Xenopus tropicalis: one gene and its partner. The protein of the gene in region 1 binds, or shares a complex with, the protein of each later gene. Links are inferred from orthologs where the notes say so. Each region holds a gene or a part of one and is shown in the gene's direction. Other genes may lie near its edges.

What was found.
Region 2: the proteins of ogdh (region 1) and tcaim are in contact, whole or in part, in a cryo-EM structure (PDB 8I0K), measured with the Homo sapiens proteins. The link is inferred for Xenopus tropicalis from reciprocal best matches to the Homo sapiens genes OGDH and TCAIM. Residues at the interface, in NP_001425937.1 of Homo sapiens: Gly301, Tyr304, Arg323, Tyr354, Arg356, Ile358, Arg364, Asn365, Lys387, Glu391, Tyr394, Cys395, Gly396, Thr398, Glu399, Lys401, Lys402, Lys561, Met602, Pro605, Glu667, Gly668, Ile669, Asn709, Met734, Ala735, Ser736, Pro737, Asn738, Gln772; in NP_001269842.1 of Homo sapiens: Glu214, Gln234, Arg235, Ser236, Trp237, Gly238, His241, Ser244, His247, Ser248, Arg251, Gln255, Asp272, Arg273, Thr286, Met287, Asp288, Val289, His290, His291, Glu331, Leu332, Gln333, Pro334, Val335, Arg375, Tyr376, Glu441, Ser443, His473.

What each region holds. Positions count from the first base shown.
Region 1 is NC_030679.2:126,362,554-126,370,268, reverse strand, and holds part of ogdh (2-oxoglutarate dehydrogenase, mitochondrial), read left to right. Parts: intron 1-4,360; coding exon 4,361-4,476; intron 4,477-4,742; coding exon 4,743-4,897; intron 4,898-4,990; coding exon 4,991-5,137; intron 5,138-5,608; coding exon 5,609-5,699; intron 5,700-6,190; coding exon 6,191-6,370; intron 6,371-6,454; coding exon 6,455-6,583; intron 6,584-6,854; coding exon 6,855-7,034; intron 7,035-7,469; coding exon 7,470-7,622; intron 7,623-7,703; coding exon 7,704-7,715. UniProt on the Homo sapiens protein: 2-oxoglutarate dehydrogenase (E1o) component of the 2-oxoglutarate dehydrogenase complex (OGDHC). Participates in the first step, rate limiting for the overall conversion of 2-oxoglutarate to succinyl-CoA and CO(2) catalyzed by the whole OGDHC.
Region 2 is NC_030682.2:50,389,215-50,397,457, reverse strand, and holds the start of tcaim (T-cell activation inhibitor, mitochondrial), read left to right. Parts: upstream 1-4,036; 5' UTR 4,037-4,122; intron 4,123-4,228; exon of another isoform or gene 4,229-4,257; 5' UTR 4,258-4,302; coding exon 4,303-4,331; intron 4,332-5,138; coding exon 5,139-5,274; intron 5,275-7,034; coding exon 7,035-7,182; intron 7,183-8,243. UniProt on the Homo sapiens protein: May regulate T-cell apoptosis.

The sequences.
Region 1 (7,715 bases):
ATAGTCATGTTGCCTTCCTTTCTCTCGTACAGTAGTTCTGCCATGCTTTATGGCACAATCTAGGATTATAACAGCATTTAGACCATGTTTGCATCGCTGCAGGATTCTGAGCCCTTATCTGGATTAATTAGTACAGTGACTGAGATCTAGAACGCTGTTCCCCCTTGAGCCGATATATTATAATTAGTGCAGTGCTGCCACTGCCAGCCCCTGTTATGTCATACGTTAACGGTAGTGAGTATTCGTTAGTGTCGGAAATATTTCCAAGCCTCCTGGCACCACTGTCTCCCCAATGTAATCCACACAATGATGCCCTGTAACCCATGTTGTGTTCCTGGAACCAGCAGGTAAGAACCTTGTGCTTGAGAGGTTATAGGGTGCACGGGACACTACAGCTGCTGCAGGGCTACACTGGCCAAACACATACTGATAACAACAGCACGTTGGGGGGGAATTATATATGTTATAAAAAAAAAAAATAGAATGGTGTCCATGTATTACCCCGCATACAGTATCCGGCCATTCAGTCTATGGGATAATGTATGTGATTGGGACCGTTTCAGCCCTCCGCATCATTTTTAAAAAAACGTTTGCCCCAGGTAATGCAGTTTTATACATTGTGTTCCGATCTTTAAAAAAAAATTATGGAATTTTGTTTTTTAGTGAAGGATTATTATCGTTTGGGGTGAATCCAAAAAATAGTTTTTGGCATCTTACTAACAGATTTATTTTGTGTACATATTGAGGGTTTTAGTTGTTGGTTACTATGAGCAGGCAGGATGAAGGCACTGACCTATAGTGAGCTCTGGTGCATGCTGCCTGCCCACAGCAGCACTCACGGCCAATAAGCAGTCAGAAGGATACACGCCTCACCTTCACTCAGTCACCACCCCATCTATCCACTCACATGCATAAACCCATACTGACCTATCTATACACTCACATACAGACCCATACTGACCTATCTATCCCCTCACATACAGACCCATACTGACCTATCTATCCACTCACATACAGACCCATACTGACCCATCTATCCACTCACATACAGACCCATACTGACCTATCTATCCACTCCCATACAGACCCATACTGACCTATCTATCCACTCCCATACAGACCCATACTGACCTATCTATTCACTCACATACAGACCCATACTGACCTATCTATCCACTCCCATACAGACCCACACTGACCTATCTATACACTCACATACAGACCCATACTGACTTATGTTGCTTACAAATAAGTTTCTTATGATGTTATGCTATAACTGCCCCCGTGGGCCTGGAATGACAAAATCGAGTCTAGGAGGAATTTGTCTCCATTTGACTATGGGAGGGTTTAGTCCACAAGCAGGAAATGGTTCAACAGATCCTAGTTGGATGTCGGTAAGTATCACAGTCACTTCATAAAGAGCTAAACCTTTGCATACAGGCACAGACATGGGATAACTGCACGTGTAATGTTTATCTGCCATTGAATTTCATGCACCCCCCCGCCTTCTTGTCATTTATATTAATGGAAGCCACTTGTCACTGGCTGTTTGTAAGGGGCCTGTGTTATCTGGTGCGTCTCTGTTGGCTAAAATACAGAGAAATTCTCCCTGTGCTATAAGCCTTAAATAAGGCTTCTGTGCAGGTCCTGCAGGAGCAGCATCTCAATTTCCTGATGCAGGAGGAGTCTTCTGGCGCTTCCCTGCTCAGTCATGCCATGTGACGCTTCCTGCATCAGAATCCTAAACTTCTGTCATTCTGTCCAGCTGGAACAGCAGGGGGTGCTCCTGTAACGCATTCATGATATCAACAGTGTAAAAACTGTGTGAAATCTAAGAAAAAGGTGAAGAGTATATTAAGTTAAATCTTGGGTATTTGTCCCTTTTTAGTACAATTCTCAAGCTCTGCAGTTATTTGTTAATCTGTTATGGCCTATGTACTATCATGTATTTATGGGATAGGGTTGAGGTTTTCCCACTACTCCCCTCATTGCCATCGCTAAGTTTGTTATAAGGATATAGATGTGTGGCCATTAACCTTGCATGTAGATCCAGCAATATCCAGTAAATTAGTGTCTACATTCCAGTTCCATGTCAGTAATACTATAATGCTCCTGTGCCTATGAGTCAGGGCATATACACTGTCCACTACTTTATTTTGTATTTTTTTTTTTAGTAGCAGAAGGTCCTTGGATACTTTATAGGAAGTTTTCTGTGTATTTGTTTGGCTGCTTATACACTTGAAGTATTAATTGCCTCTATTTAAGATGTTCTTTGTGCCTATGAAGCAAAGCGGGCCATCGGAAAGGCACTTTCGTGTGTCCTGGCACCGAGAATGTGGGAATGTCATGTGCATTGACACACAATTATGGCAGAATTATGGCTTGCACCTTGTACTGCCCCCTGGTTGTGCTGCAGATTTATTTAAAGTTTCCTCTCTGTTTCCCCCACATGCTGCACTCTTTGTCCTTCTCCCCATGCCCCCATGCTCCTCCTGTCTTCCCATTCCCACCCAGACCTGCAAGCATTCATGGACCGGCTGCGTGTTCTCACTGTGGGAGGTATGAACTATGTCCTTTCATAACAATCACGGCCCAAACCCACGGGCTGCAGTCGCATTTATTACAGGAACAGCGGGGCATGCTGGGGGTGGCACATATGGGAGATGCCTTTTAGCAAAGGCTACATGTTGCTTAGAACTGACTTGTGTGATCATTAAGCTTGCCTGTTAGCCGCCATGTATGGTTTGTGCTTCATGCAGTGAGAGTGAAGACTAGAGGCCTGGCTTCATTTATTCATTCACTGGCCTGTTTTTATTGCACCTCACATAGCAATGCATACATGGCAGAATGTGTCTAGTTAAGCTAGCTATTTGGCCTTCTGCTTTTAATCCCCATTGGTATACTCATGATGCAGGCAGTAATGCATAGGGGTGTAGCTTTGTATGAGTTGCTCTATTGCTTCCTGTAAAGTAAATGATACCGGCAGGCACTGACCCAAACAAGCATCATAAGGGAAGTATTAGTTATTACAGAAGCATATTAGGTACAAATAATAGCCATACACGTTTCAAGCTGCACAGATCTGCTTTTCGCCTGTTTATAAAGCCAAAAAATCCCCCACACCCTGTCCTCTTGCTCAATACCATCCTGTGATTGTAGAACATGGCTCTAGTAAGGCAGCCTGCCCTGATACAAACCAGAATGTTGCCAGCTTTAGGCAAGTATAAATGCCCTGAGCAAGTGGGTGCAGGGAATGTGACTGAAGGTCGTACTGTGGCCAAACACCAGAATATCAGTCCCAGGCAAGACTGTAATGGAGTTGGCACCGTGCCTGCATAGTGCAGAGAGTCCAGGCACATATCTCTCTTCCTGGGAAGTTATCAGGGAGCATGAAGGTGAAAGGTACAGAGTGCAAAGTTTATGCAGAATGCCATGTACCCCTGTCTTGTTTGGGCACAACCAGGCATAGTGCCCTCTATACAGAGGCTTTGCTGTGCAGTATACTTCTGCTCTCAACACAATACATTGGCTCATTACACTAGGGGAGGGGGGGGCCAATGGAAGGAACCTAAATAAATGACAGCCTAGCGTGCTCAGGAATTCAGTTTGACATTGGCAGTGAGACTCTGTGCCTGGTTACTCACATTCATGAGGATTCACCTAGAAGTCTTTAGAGGTTGTTTAAGTGCTATATGATGAGCCCTGGCTCTCTGGGGTGCGGGGGCTGCTTGAGTACTCCTGTGTGAAGCTGCTAGATCCTGTAGTTGAGGAGGGCACAGGGACCACACAACTTCTGCAAGTAGAACATGCAGCCATTAAACACAACCTGTTGTGCTGACTTATACACCTACCTGTGAGTGGGTGTGGGCCGACCCCAAAAACTCCAGTGTTGGCCTAGCTGTTTGGGATAAACTATTGGTTATGTAAGGTGATTATGAACTAATGTATATTTAGCTGTCCAGTTTTTTTTTTCTATTTGCTGCTCTCTTCTGTCTCACCTCCCTCACTCTGCCAAACTCATACACTAAATATACTTGGCACTGAAACCTCACCCAATGTAATACTTTACATTTGTACATTCTCCTTTTTCCAAAAATATAACCTGACAATGCTCTTCACATCCATACATATATATATATATATATATATATATATATTAGTGTGTGTGTGTGCAATATATATATTTGAGATAGCTGTCTCCTCCTTAACTCATTTCTGTACAATCCAACGCATTCCACTTGTCTGCCATGCTTCACTTTGTTGGTGCCCTTGTTCTGCAATATGGCTGTGCTTGCTTGCTGCATCCTTTTCTTCCTGTAACATTACCTGCATCTGTCTCTCTGACCGTCATGCACCTTAGGCTTTTATGGGCTGCAGGAATCTGACCTGGATAAAGTCTTCCATCTCCCAACCACTACATTCATCGGCGGCAATGAAATGGCTCTGCCCCTGAGAGAGATCATTCGAAGGCTGGAGGTGAGAGGACAGAGTTCTACATAAAAGCATAATATGTGTAGTCCAGAAAGTAGAAGGGCTATGACGCATGTGTAGAGAAATTCCATAGTGGAAAACCGCTGCTGCTGCGTTTTTCAGCATTGACAAGACTTGCATCTGCCTGAAAAGACTTGAGCAAGGGGCAGTAGTGGCACGGACAGACTGCACATGTGACATGCACTTAATGCACCATTGTCTGTGTCTGCACTGATTAATCATGGCTTCCTTCTACTGCCCTCCTCTCACAGACTGCATACTGCCAGCACATCGGAGTCGAATTCATGTTTATAAATGATCTGGAGCAGTGTCAGTGGATAAGGCAGAAGTTTGAGACCCCAGGAATCATGCAGTTTAACAATGAAGAGAAAAGGACCCTGCTTGCCAGGCTGGTTAGATCTACTCGGTAAGTGTGCTGAACAGCTTGGCTTTGTCCCATCAGTTACGAATCAATGACTCCTGTGAGCTTACACTTGGGCATAATCTCTCTCCTGCAAAGGTTTGAAGAGTTTCTCCATCGCAAGTGGTCGTCTGAGAAGCGCTTTGGTTTGGAGGGGTGCGAGGGCTTGATCCCTGCTCTGAAAACCATCATTGATAAATCTAGTGAGAATGGGGTGGATTATGTCATCATGGGGATGCCCCACAGGTATGTTCTACGTGTGTGTGTGTGTGTACTTTTGGAACCTTCTAGTTCTGCTAACTCAGTGTTGCCCCTGCAGTGGATCCCAGGCCTGGGCTTGGAGTCAAAATGGGCCCTGGCATTTCAAGTATATAGTGGCACAAACCGCCCCCCACCAGCCCAATAAATGGTAACTGTTTGTGGCATCTTACAGCAGCCCCTCTGGCATTTGCCCAACACACAAATTGCCAGTCTGGGCCTGGTGTGGATCCCTGTATATAAAGCTTTAATGAAAAACAGCCATTGTTCTGAGCCCTTTCAGCCTGTTGCACTCTTTCTCTACCATTTTCCTAGAAATAATGCACAGGCCAAATGACTATAACCACAAACATCTGACAGATCAGTTGTCCCAACATAACATGCCTTGGTTAAACTCACTGTTCCTTCCCCGCAGTCATGTGGGCTTTGCTTTAGTAACACTTTCCATGTGTCTGGCAGGGGCCGACTAAACGTACTGGCCAATGTGATTAGGAAAGAGTTGGAGCAGATTTTCTGTCAGTTTGATTCCAAACTGGAAGCTGCAGATGAGGTGAGTGACTCCCCAGTACTTATAGACAGGGGAGAACCAGTGCCAAATTGAGGGGTGGAAAACCTGGCGATGCTGGGTAAATGGCTTACATGATGAAAAGACAGGGACCCCCATCAACTGGTCAAAAAAGCAATTGCCTAAACTCGACAGTCCATCGTAATGAAAAGTTACTGGACCCGAAAGCAACATAAAATAATGTTGGTTATAATTATGTGTAAGTGCCCCTCTGGGCCACTATTTTTTTCTGGTTTTATCTATAGTTTGCGCACCTACTATGAAAAGGAACGGCCCCACCGAGGTAGTAAATAGGTACCCCATCCTTTTCATATTATTCAGGATTGCACCAGAGTGAGCTCCGTGGATAGTTAAGTGCCAGTAAATCCTCAAAAGTGAATTTTTAGGTCCTCATTATTTGGCTTCCAAGTGCTCATTCCATTGCTTGTGGGAATAAAGGATACAGGGCGCCTCTCTCACTGCTCTGTTCTTTGCAGGGCTCCGGAGATGTTAAATACCACCTGGGAATGTATCACAGGAGGATAAACAGAGTGACTGACAGGAACATCACCTTGTCCTTGGTGGCCAACCCCTCCCATCTGGAGGCAGCAGATCCTGTGGTCCAGGGAAAGACGAAAGCTGAGCAGTTCTACTGTGGGGACACGGAGGGCAAAAAGGTGGCCAGAAGATGACTTGTGGCATGAACAAAGCTGTTTGTTTAAATATGACTCTTTAAATAACACGTCTGTCTGTGTCCACAGGTGATGTCCATCCTGTTGCATGGTGATGCTGCATTCGCAGGACAGGGCATTGTGTATGAGACCTTCCACCTTAGTGACCTTCCCTCCTACACTACACATGGCACTGTGCATGTGGTGGTGAACAATCAGGTATGGCATTTAGTGTGTTCTGGGCAGGGTATTCGGCATAACAGGGTTATTGGCAAATAACATGGATTCAGCTGCCATTCCTGTTGTCTGAGCTGGACAGTGGCTGGGGTGTGCAGGTTTAATAGTAGTGAGAAATTCTGTGTCCTTCCATTGTATAAAGAACAGTGCTTACATTCTGTACATTCCTCGCATTGCTTCTTTACAGCGCTGTTTAATAATAACACCTAAATCACACCTCATTGCTTGACTGTGATTAAACCTTCCCCTCCAGATTGGTTTCACCACTGACCCTCGAATGGCCCGCTCCTCTCCCTACCCAACGGATGTGGCCAGAGTGGTGAATGCCCCCATCTTCCATGTCAACGCAGATGACCCCGAAGCTGTGATGTACGTGTGTAATGTGGCTGCAGAGTGGCGAAGCACCTTCCACAAGGATGTCGTGGTGGATCTGGTATGGGCTACCATTGTAACTGCTACAGGAACACTTCCCAAAACTTAGATTTATGCTTTATGGTCGCGTGCTAATGATGCACTTCAAGTCGATGTGAGCAGGGCCCTGACTACACTTTAGGTGACACCAGTGTGCCTACAGTTACTGTATCACTAACGCCACCAAATGGAAATGCACCATATGAACTCATTCTACCATTTATTTTGAGTCCAGAGTTTGGTATTTAACTGTTATATGGTTGCTAACTGCCTGGTTGCAAGGGTAAATAAAAGACTGGAAGATAGGTGAAGGATTAAATGAATAGGAAGATTAAATAATAAGTAGTAGTAATGGAATTGTAGCTGCACAGAGCAATAGTTTTTCTCACACAGTAGCTGTGTTTTGTCAGCTGGGGTCAGTCACCTGATAGTGGCACTCGTCTCTTTGCGCCATTAGGTGTGTTACCGTAGGAACGGTCACAATGAGATGGATGAGCCCATGTTCACCCAGCCGCTGATGTACAAACAGATTCGGAAGCAGAAGACTGTACTGCAGAAGTACGCAGAGACCCTAATCTCTCAGGGAGTGGTCAACCAGCCGGAGTATGAGGTAAGTACCCAACGTAGGTTCCATTTGGTTTCAAGGCATTGGGTGTAGAATGGCATAGTCATATGGTCTCTCCATCTACAGGAAGAAATTTCA
Region 2 (8,243 bases), on another chromosome or scaffold:
CTGGAAAATGTACCTTCTTTTTGAAGAGGCTCTATGGTTGGCCAGAGGTTGCATTTTGCATCACATAACATAAATGAATAGTTTTGGTTTTTTAATTGCCTGAATAATGTGGAGTAAGGATTTGTCAAAAGCATTCAATTATTTGAAAATATGTTTTCTTCATTATCTACCTTGTCTGTTGGCTAATGTTGCTCTAAAACACTTTCCAGAGGTTAAGTGACAAGATGATTAGTAGTAGGCTGTGCTGGCCATAGCAATGAGTTGTTTGCTAGATAACAAATAGACAAGTGCATTCAGTGTGGTTTGTGCAACTGTAGGCAATGAACCATTAAATCAATCAATCAATCACTCAAATAAAAATCAAAGTGATCTGTCTATCTATCTATATGTCTATTGATTCATACATAAAATCACTATAAGGCCTCATACATAGACAGGCCCGGATTTGTGGAGAGGCCACAAAGGCACGGGCCTAGGGCGGCAGAAATCTGGGGGCGGCATGCCGCCCCGCCGCACAAAAATCTTGAAATGTGTGCTCCCATACGGAGCAATGCATGCGCACTGAATGGCTGAATAAAAGTGTTATTGTAGAGGTTGGTAAGAAAAAACGTGCTTTTAGGGCATTCAAGTTAGCTGGGACAGCGGAAACTTTCATCAGGTACAAGGAAGCAAATAAAGCATGCAAAAAAGCTATCAAGCAAGCTAAAATAGAAATGGAAAGGGATATTGCAGCTAGGAGTAAAAAGAATCCTAAATTATTTTTTAATTATGTGAATAGTAAAAAAATGAAGCAAGAAGGGGTGGGAACTTTATTATCACGGGGGGGTAAGTTGGTTGATGAGAATGGGGAAAAAGCTGAAATTTTGAACTCTTATTTTTCATCTGTCTATACATCTGAGGAGCCAGATAATGAAGGCTTCCCTTGTAATATGCCCAGTTCTAGTAATTTAGCTACTGACGCATGCGTCACTCGGGAGGAAATTCAAAAGAGACTTGAACATGTAAAGGTAAACAAAGGTCCAGGACCGGATGGGATTCATCCCAGGGTATTAAATGAGCTGAGCGCTGTGATTGCCAAACCTCTTCACTTAATTTTTCAGGATTCATTGAGGTCTGGCATGGTGCCGAGAGACTGGCGGATTGCTAATGTGGTGCCGTTATTTAAAAAGGGATCCCGTTCTCAGCCTGAAAACTATAGGCCTGTTAGTCTGACATCAGTAGTAGGAAAACTTTTGGAAGGGGTAATAAGGGATAGGGTACTTGAATACATTGCAGTTCACAATACTATTAGTTTGTGCCAGCATGGTTTTATGCGTAACAGATCTTGCCAGACTAATTTAGTCGCCTTTTATGAGGAGGTGAGTAGGAACCTCGATGCTGGAATGGCAGTTGATGTCATCTACTTGGACTTTGCTAAAGCGTTTGATACAGTACCTCACAGAAGGTTAATGATCAAATTAAGGAATATTGGCCTAGAACATAATATTTGTAATTGGATAGAGAACTGGCTGAAGGATAGAGTACAAAGAGTGGTTGTAAATGGAACATTTTCTAATTGGGCCAGTGTGGTTAGTGGAGTACCGCAGGGGTCAGTCCTTGGGCCTTTGCTTTTTAACTTGTTTATTAATGACCTGGAGGTGGGCATAGAGAGTACTGTTTCTATTTTTGCTGATGACACAAAATTTTGCAAAACTATAAGTTCCATGCAGGATGCTGCCGCTTTGCAGAGCGATTTGACAAAATTAGATAACTGGGCAGCAAACTGGAAAATGAGGTTCAATGTTGATAAGTGCAAAGTTATGCACTTTGGTAGGAATAATATAAACGCAAACTATCTACTGAATGGTAGTGTGTTGGGGGTATCCTTAATGGAGAAGGATCTAGGGGTTTTTGTTGATAACAAGTTGTCTAATTCCAGGCAGTGTCATTCTGTGGCTACTAAAGCAAATAAAGTGCTGTCTTGTATAAAAAAGGGCATTGACTCAAGGGATGAGAACATAATTTTGCCCCTTTATAGGTCCCTGGTAAGGCCTCACCTTGAGTATGCAGTGCAGTTTTGGGCTCCAGTCCTTAAGAAGGATATTAATGAGCTGGAGAGAGTGCAGAGACGTGCAACTAAACTGGTTAAGGGGATGGAAGATTTAAGCTATGAGGTGAGACTGTCGAGGTTGGGGTTGTTTTCTCTGGAAAAGAGGCGCTTGCGAGGGGACATGATTACTCTGTACAAGTACATTAGAGGGGATTATAGGCAGTTGGGGGATGTTCTTTTTTCCCATAAAAACAATCAACGCACCAGAGGCCACCCCTTTAGATTAGAGGAACGGAGCTTCCATTTGAAGCAGCGTAGGTGGTTTTTCACAGTGAGGGCAGTGAGGTTGGGGAATGCCCTTCCTAGTGATGTGGTAATGGAAGACTCTGTTAATGCCTTTAAGAGGGGCCTGGATGAGCTCTTGATCAATCAGAATATCCAAGGCTATTGTGATACTAATATCTACAGTTAGTACTAGTGGTTGTATATATAGTTTATGTATGTGAGTGTATAGATTGGTAGGTGTGGGTTAGGTGTGCTGGGTTTACTTGGATGGGTTGAACTTGATGGACACTGGTCTTTTTTCAACCCTATGTAACTATGTAACTATGTAACTCAGGGCGGGGGGGGGCATGCGACCGGGGGGTGGCCTCTGGTTTTCAAATCCGGCCCTGTACATAGAACCTTTGGGCCTATGAAAAATTGCATGCAACTCTTTTGATACTAATGATAGTTGCATCTTGGGACAGAATGTGTTTTTCACATCACACTTTTTGTTTTAATAATCTACACACTGTTTTTAAGTATTAACATATATGTACTGTATATGTATATTATGGAGTAAGAGGTACATCATATCTTGTACACAACTTTCCCACTTCTGTAAGATTTTTGTTACATAAAGATTTGGGGTGGAGGACCAGAAATATGGGTCAATATTGAAGTAGGACTGCTGACAACACACACCAGTTGCAAGTGAGGGTTACTGTTAAAGGAGAAAGAAAGGTAAAAACTCATTAAGCTTTATCAGAAAGGTCTATGTAAATACAGCCATAAGCACTCACAGAAACGCTGCATGAGTTCTCTGTCAAAAGATTTGTTGTGTCTGTAATTCATGTGCCACAGACACACAGCTCTCTGCTCCCCCCTCCCTCAAGAATGCTAAGAACTCACCCCCCCCCCTTAGGAATGTGGATCTGAGCCAATCAGCAGGAAGCTGACTCATAGGGGCACATTTACAAAAGCACGAACGCACAAGCGTTTATGCGAACGCTCCAAGCGTATTTTCACTGATTTTTTTGGGCGTGTGCACGACTTTTTTGTACGGCGCACGACTTTTTCGTACGCTGTACGACTTTTTCGGACGTTTGCACGAAAAAATCGGAAAGGTTTTACCGCTGTTTACAATTGTTCGGTACGAGAATTTCGTGACTTTCAGATCGCCAATACGATATTATCGTGACTAATACGATTTTTTCGTAAGCATTTTCGTGATATTTGCGATCTTACGAAATTTTCGTTTCCAATACGATTTTTTCCCATTCGTGATTTGGATTCGTGGATTAGTAAATGTGCCCCTTAGTCTTACTAACTGAGCAAGTTCACTTGGTCTCGGTCTCGGTTCAGGAGTGAGGCATTATGGGAACTTTCTTTGCACAGCTCAGTGTTTTTCTTTCTGTTTGCCTTCTGATAATGTGAACAGGAGAAATATGGGGAGACTTAAGGGCGCTATTGAGAGAACTGAAGGTATGCCCGCAGCTTGAGATTAACTCTTTATTAGCCTTTCCTTCTCCTTTAAAAATGTATGGTAGGACTACCATCTTTAATTTAGATCAATCTGTGAGTAACATGTATTTAGGACTATGACATATATAAATATATAGTGTAAATTTCCTGCAAATCAACAGTTACCTCTCTCAATTTACATCAGATACACTGATTATGTTGTCTGAAAATGCAATCCCTTGGCATTAAGTAGTTGATTATCAAATTTATTTATTTATTTTAGGAAAACCCATACCTATTTTACTGTGGCACTCATGATCAAAAAAAGGCATTGGATAAAAGGCTTGGGCTCAAACGTATTCCCACAAGTAAGTCTCTAAATGTCCTTCTACTTCCAATATCTTTTCAGGAATTCAAATTCCAGTTACTGTAATGCTTTAAAATGTACCCTTTGTTTACCTCTCATTAACACAGTTATTTCTCTCCATTGGTTGTGCCTGAAGGTACTCATTTGATTTCTGCATGTTGGTCTCCCCAACAAATTTGTCATGTTTGGCTGCTGCAGAGCCACAAAGAGGTAAGTTTACCCAATTTACTGTCCTTTGAAACAAACGGGTTTAAAACCTTTTTTAGTGCAGTTACCATGCTTAATAATTAGAGATACGACTAATTCTGTACATTACTCTTCACTGACACATTCAGGTCCAGATATGTGGCAAGACCACAAAGGCCTGGGCCTAGGGAGGCACAAATTAAGGGGCAGCACACTGCACAGCTGCTCCTGAACTTTACATATGCAGGGCCTGGGGACTATGTGCGCTGGAGATCTCCATGCGCCCTGCCCCCCGTGCTCCACATGTAGGAGTACATGGTCCTGTGGGAGGGGCAGGGAGCAACTGAGGATGGGCCCCTGGAAATCCGGTCCTGGACACGTTTGGCCAGTGGTGTGCTTCTCATGCAGCTTGAGTCCTCTTAAAATGTTTAATCTATATCCTAAAAGAGGCACAATTGTACTGCACACTTTTTCGATGGCACATGGATATTACTAGCTGTACACTGAAGACAATGATAATGTGAATTTCAATCAACTTGCCAGTCCAATATTGTAGTCTCTTGAAATTGGTTCTTTCAGCATTTTGCGTACACAATTTGTGATTTGGCTGATGTTACATCTAGTTCAGGAGGGACATGTCTTCCACATGGAAGGAAACATCACGTGCTTCATGTAAATTACCCCTAAGAGCAAGAACCAGGGCCTTCAGTATACCTTAGTCTCAATTTAGGAAAGGCAGTGAAATACATATTGGAGTCATTAATTTGCCTGTTATTACATCATTTTATTTGGCACATGGTAAATTTACTACTTTTCTTTTTCCCCTTTCAGACTTCCATGGGGGTCTCTATTACAGAAATTTGTTTTTCAAGCCAGGCCACTCTCGGGCGCAGATGCAGCCACAGCTCTAAGGCCATTTTATTTTGCTGTCCACCCAGATTTTTTTGGTCAACATCCAGTGGAAAGAGTAAGCATTTTGATATTTAGCACTAATTAAATATATTTTCCTTTTACATTTTGTATTTTCATTTACTTTGTATCTTTCTATATCATTCATAAGACAAATGTTTTCTAAGTTTGCATAAACATCTTTAAATCAAACATTTTGTATTTGGTCATTGCAACAGTGTCAGTGTCACTTCAGCAATATAACTACAGTCGCCCTCATCTCTCAGTGTTTGCTATTTCACATGAAATGTAATGAACAATTCTGAGTGCTGCACCAACCTAAGAGAGCTTAAATGAAAAGGAGAAGGAAAGTCATTTTGGCATTTTACTGCCAATAGATTTGCCACATTAGTGCCACCTAGAACAATATATTTATTCTGCAGAAACCATTACCATACCTGAGTAAACAGCTTTAGAAGCTTTCTCCTTTTGCTTAAGATAGCAGCTGTCATTTTAGGTAGCTTCCTGCCTGCATTCTAGCCGTTATAGCTGAGATCACACATTCCTAAGGGAGGGGGGAGGGAGTTCTTAGCATTCTGATGGGAGGGGGGAGCAGGAGAGAAGAGAGAACTGGGCAGACTCTGGCACTGGGAATTAAGGTGTTTCTGAGAGAGGAAGTCAGACACTTGAACATTATGTTTACAAAAAAAGAGACAAGAAATCCTGTGTTTCGTTTTTTGATAGAGAACTCAGTGCAGCGTTTCTGTGAGTGCTTATGGCTATATTTACATAGACCTTTCTGATAAAGCTTACTTAGTTTTTACCTTTCCTTCTCCTTTTAAGATACATGGCAGTACTATACCAAACTCCTAGACAAGCTTGCAGAGACACATATTGAAAAATGAAACCTCACACGGTGCTGCAGTGGTGCAACAACTTCGATAGCCAGATGCTTTATTTGGAGCCTTAAAGGAAAAGTAACACTACATTTTTTAAGTAAAAAAGCTTTTCTACCCTGCACCAATAACTGCCCTATCCTGCAAACCACTTAGTATTTTAAATGCTTTAATAGAAAATACCTGCGAAAACTTGACTTCCTGTCAATTGAACTACGGCGATACGGCGAAGGAAGGAGCTGCATCACTATGCGACAATCGATTGATCGAGTCTAGCCTTCTTTCTGTATAGGAAGGAGTCAGGCTAGGCTCGATCAATCGATTGCATAATGGTTGCTGCTCCTTCCTTTGCCGTATCGCTGTAGTTCAATTGACAGGAAGTCAACTTTAAGCAGGTATTTTCTATTAAAGCATTTAAAATACTAAGTGGTTTGCAGGATAGGGCAATTATTGGTGCAGGGTAGAAAAGCTTTTTTACTTAAAAAATGTAGTGTTACTTTTCCTTTAAGGCTCAAAATAAAGCATCTGGCTATCGAAGTTGTTGCACCACTGCAGCACCGTGTGAGGTTTCATTTTTCAATATGTGTCTCTGCAAGCTTGTCTAGGAGTTTGGTATAGTACTGTCATGTAATAGCTTTTTTACTTAAAAAATTTTAGTGTTACTTTTCTTTTAATGAACAGCATTCACATGTTATGTTAAAGGAATTTTGACACTTTCCAAAAACTATGCCTTTTGTCCTAGGAAGCGCTATGTGCAGCAGCAACAGCCTGACTACCATGGCTGAAAAAGGGTGCAGCAGCCATGATATTCAAGCAATTAAGGCAAAAAGTGCCATACCCAGGATATTGGTTGTTAGGGAGAATGCTATAAAAGGTGTTAGTATCCCTTTAACTCCTGACACTTTTTATTCTCATCAAAGCTGTACTGCTTGCCTCATTATAGGAAGTAAACGAAAACTCACTGAAAAGATTAAATGGCTACTTAGAAAATCTTCAGAAACCCGGTCAGAAATCTCACAAACCAGCTCAGCTTACATTTTATGTACGAGAAACAAACACCATAAATGATTCAGACACAATTCGAACCACAGGTAAGTGTCATTACATTCAAAATAAATCTCTGCACAACCACAGAATAAAAGCAGAGCATTTATCCATATGAAAAATGATAATGAGAATTAAGACTAATGTCACGCCTGCAGAATTGTCAGAAGCTGCAACTTTTCTCCGCAGAATTAGCAGTGCATCAGCATGTGCACAGTGTGATTCCCCTGCATATTCACAGTGATCTGTAGTTTTAGGCAAGAATTATGCATGTTTGCCCACAATTTAAAATATTTGGACACAATTCCGTACCTTTTGGTTCCAATATATTTTTCTTTAAAAGACACAGCTGCCGAAAGCTGTCAAATCTGGACTGACATTAACCTAAACCGTCCCTCCCAGTGTTTCCTTGATAACTTACTGCCAGATCTCAATAGGACTGGCTGGAAAATCCTGTTGGATGACTAATGCATTGGGCTGCGCTACTAAAACCAGATGTAACTTTATATACAGTCATTAATAACTCACATCATAATTTTCTTTCAGCATTATGGACATTATTTTAATATTTTTTAAATGTAATAGTTCCCCTTTACCAACTAAATTGTGGTTCACTCCTTTCCTAAATAAACATCTTAGCAGGCACTCAAAGGCGATGACTCAAATACAGGTTTGTCAAATGAAAGAATTTCCTGTTGAAACATGGAAATATTTGTTGCCTTACTCGTTTTGTGCTGTATCTAACTTAATCATAGGCACAAGTGTTACCTGGGCCCTCATATAGAGTGGTGAGTTTACTTTTTAAATCTATATGGCATAATCTTGAAGAGTAGTTGCTATACTGAACTCTAATTCAGGGAAGACACTGTCAGAGAGAAAAAAGTAACCCTGTAAGATCAGCACATGTTGTTGAATATTGCAGATTGTTGGAGATTACAGTTTCCATGTATCCAATGCTTTTCAGTGCTAGATGTAAGAACTGGGGGTTTGGTAGGTACAGAACTGGGATCTAGGGGGGTCTGCTGCCATTAGTAGCTTGTTCTCGCAATGAATCATGAAATAATACATGTCAACAGAATAAATGAAAGTCACACTTAAAAATGACTAT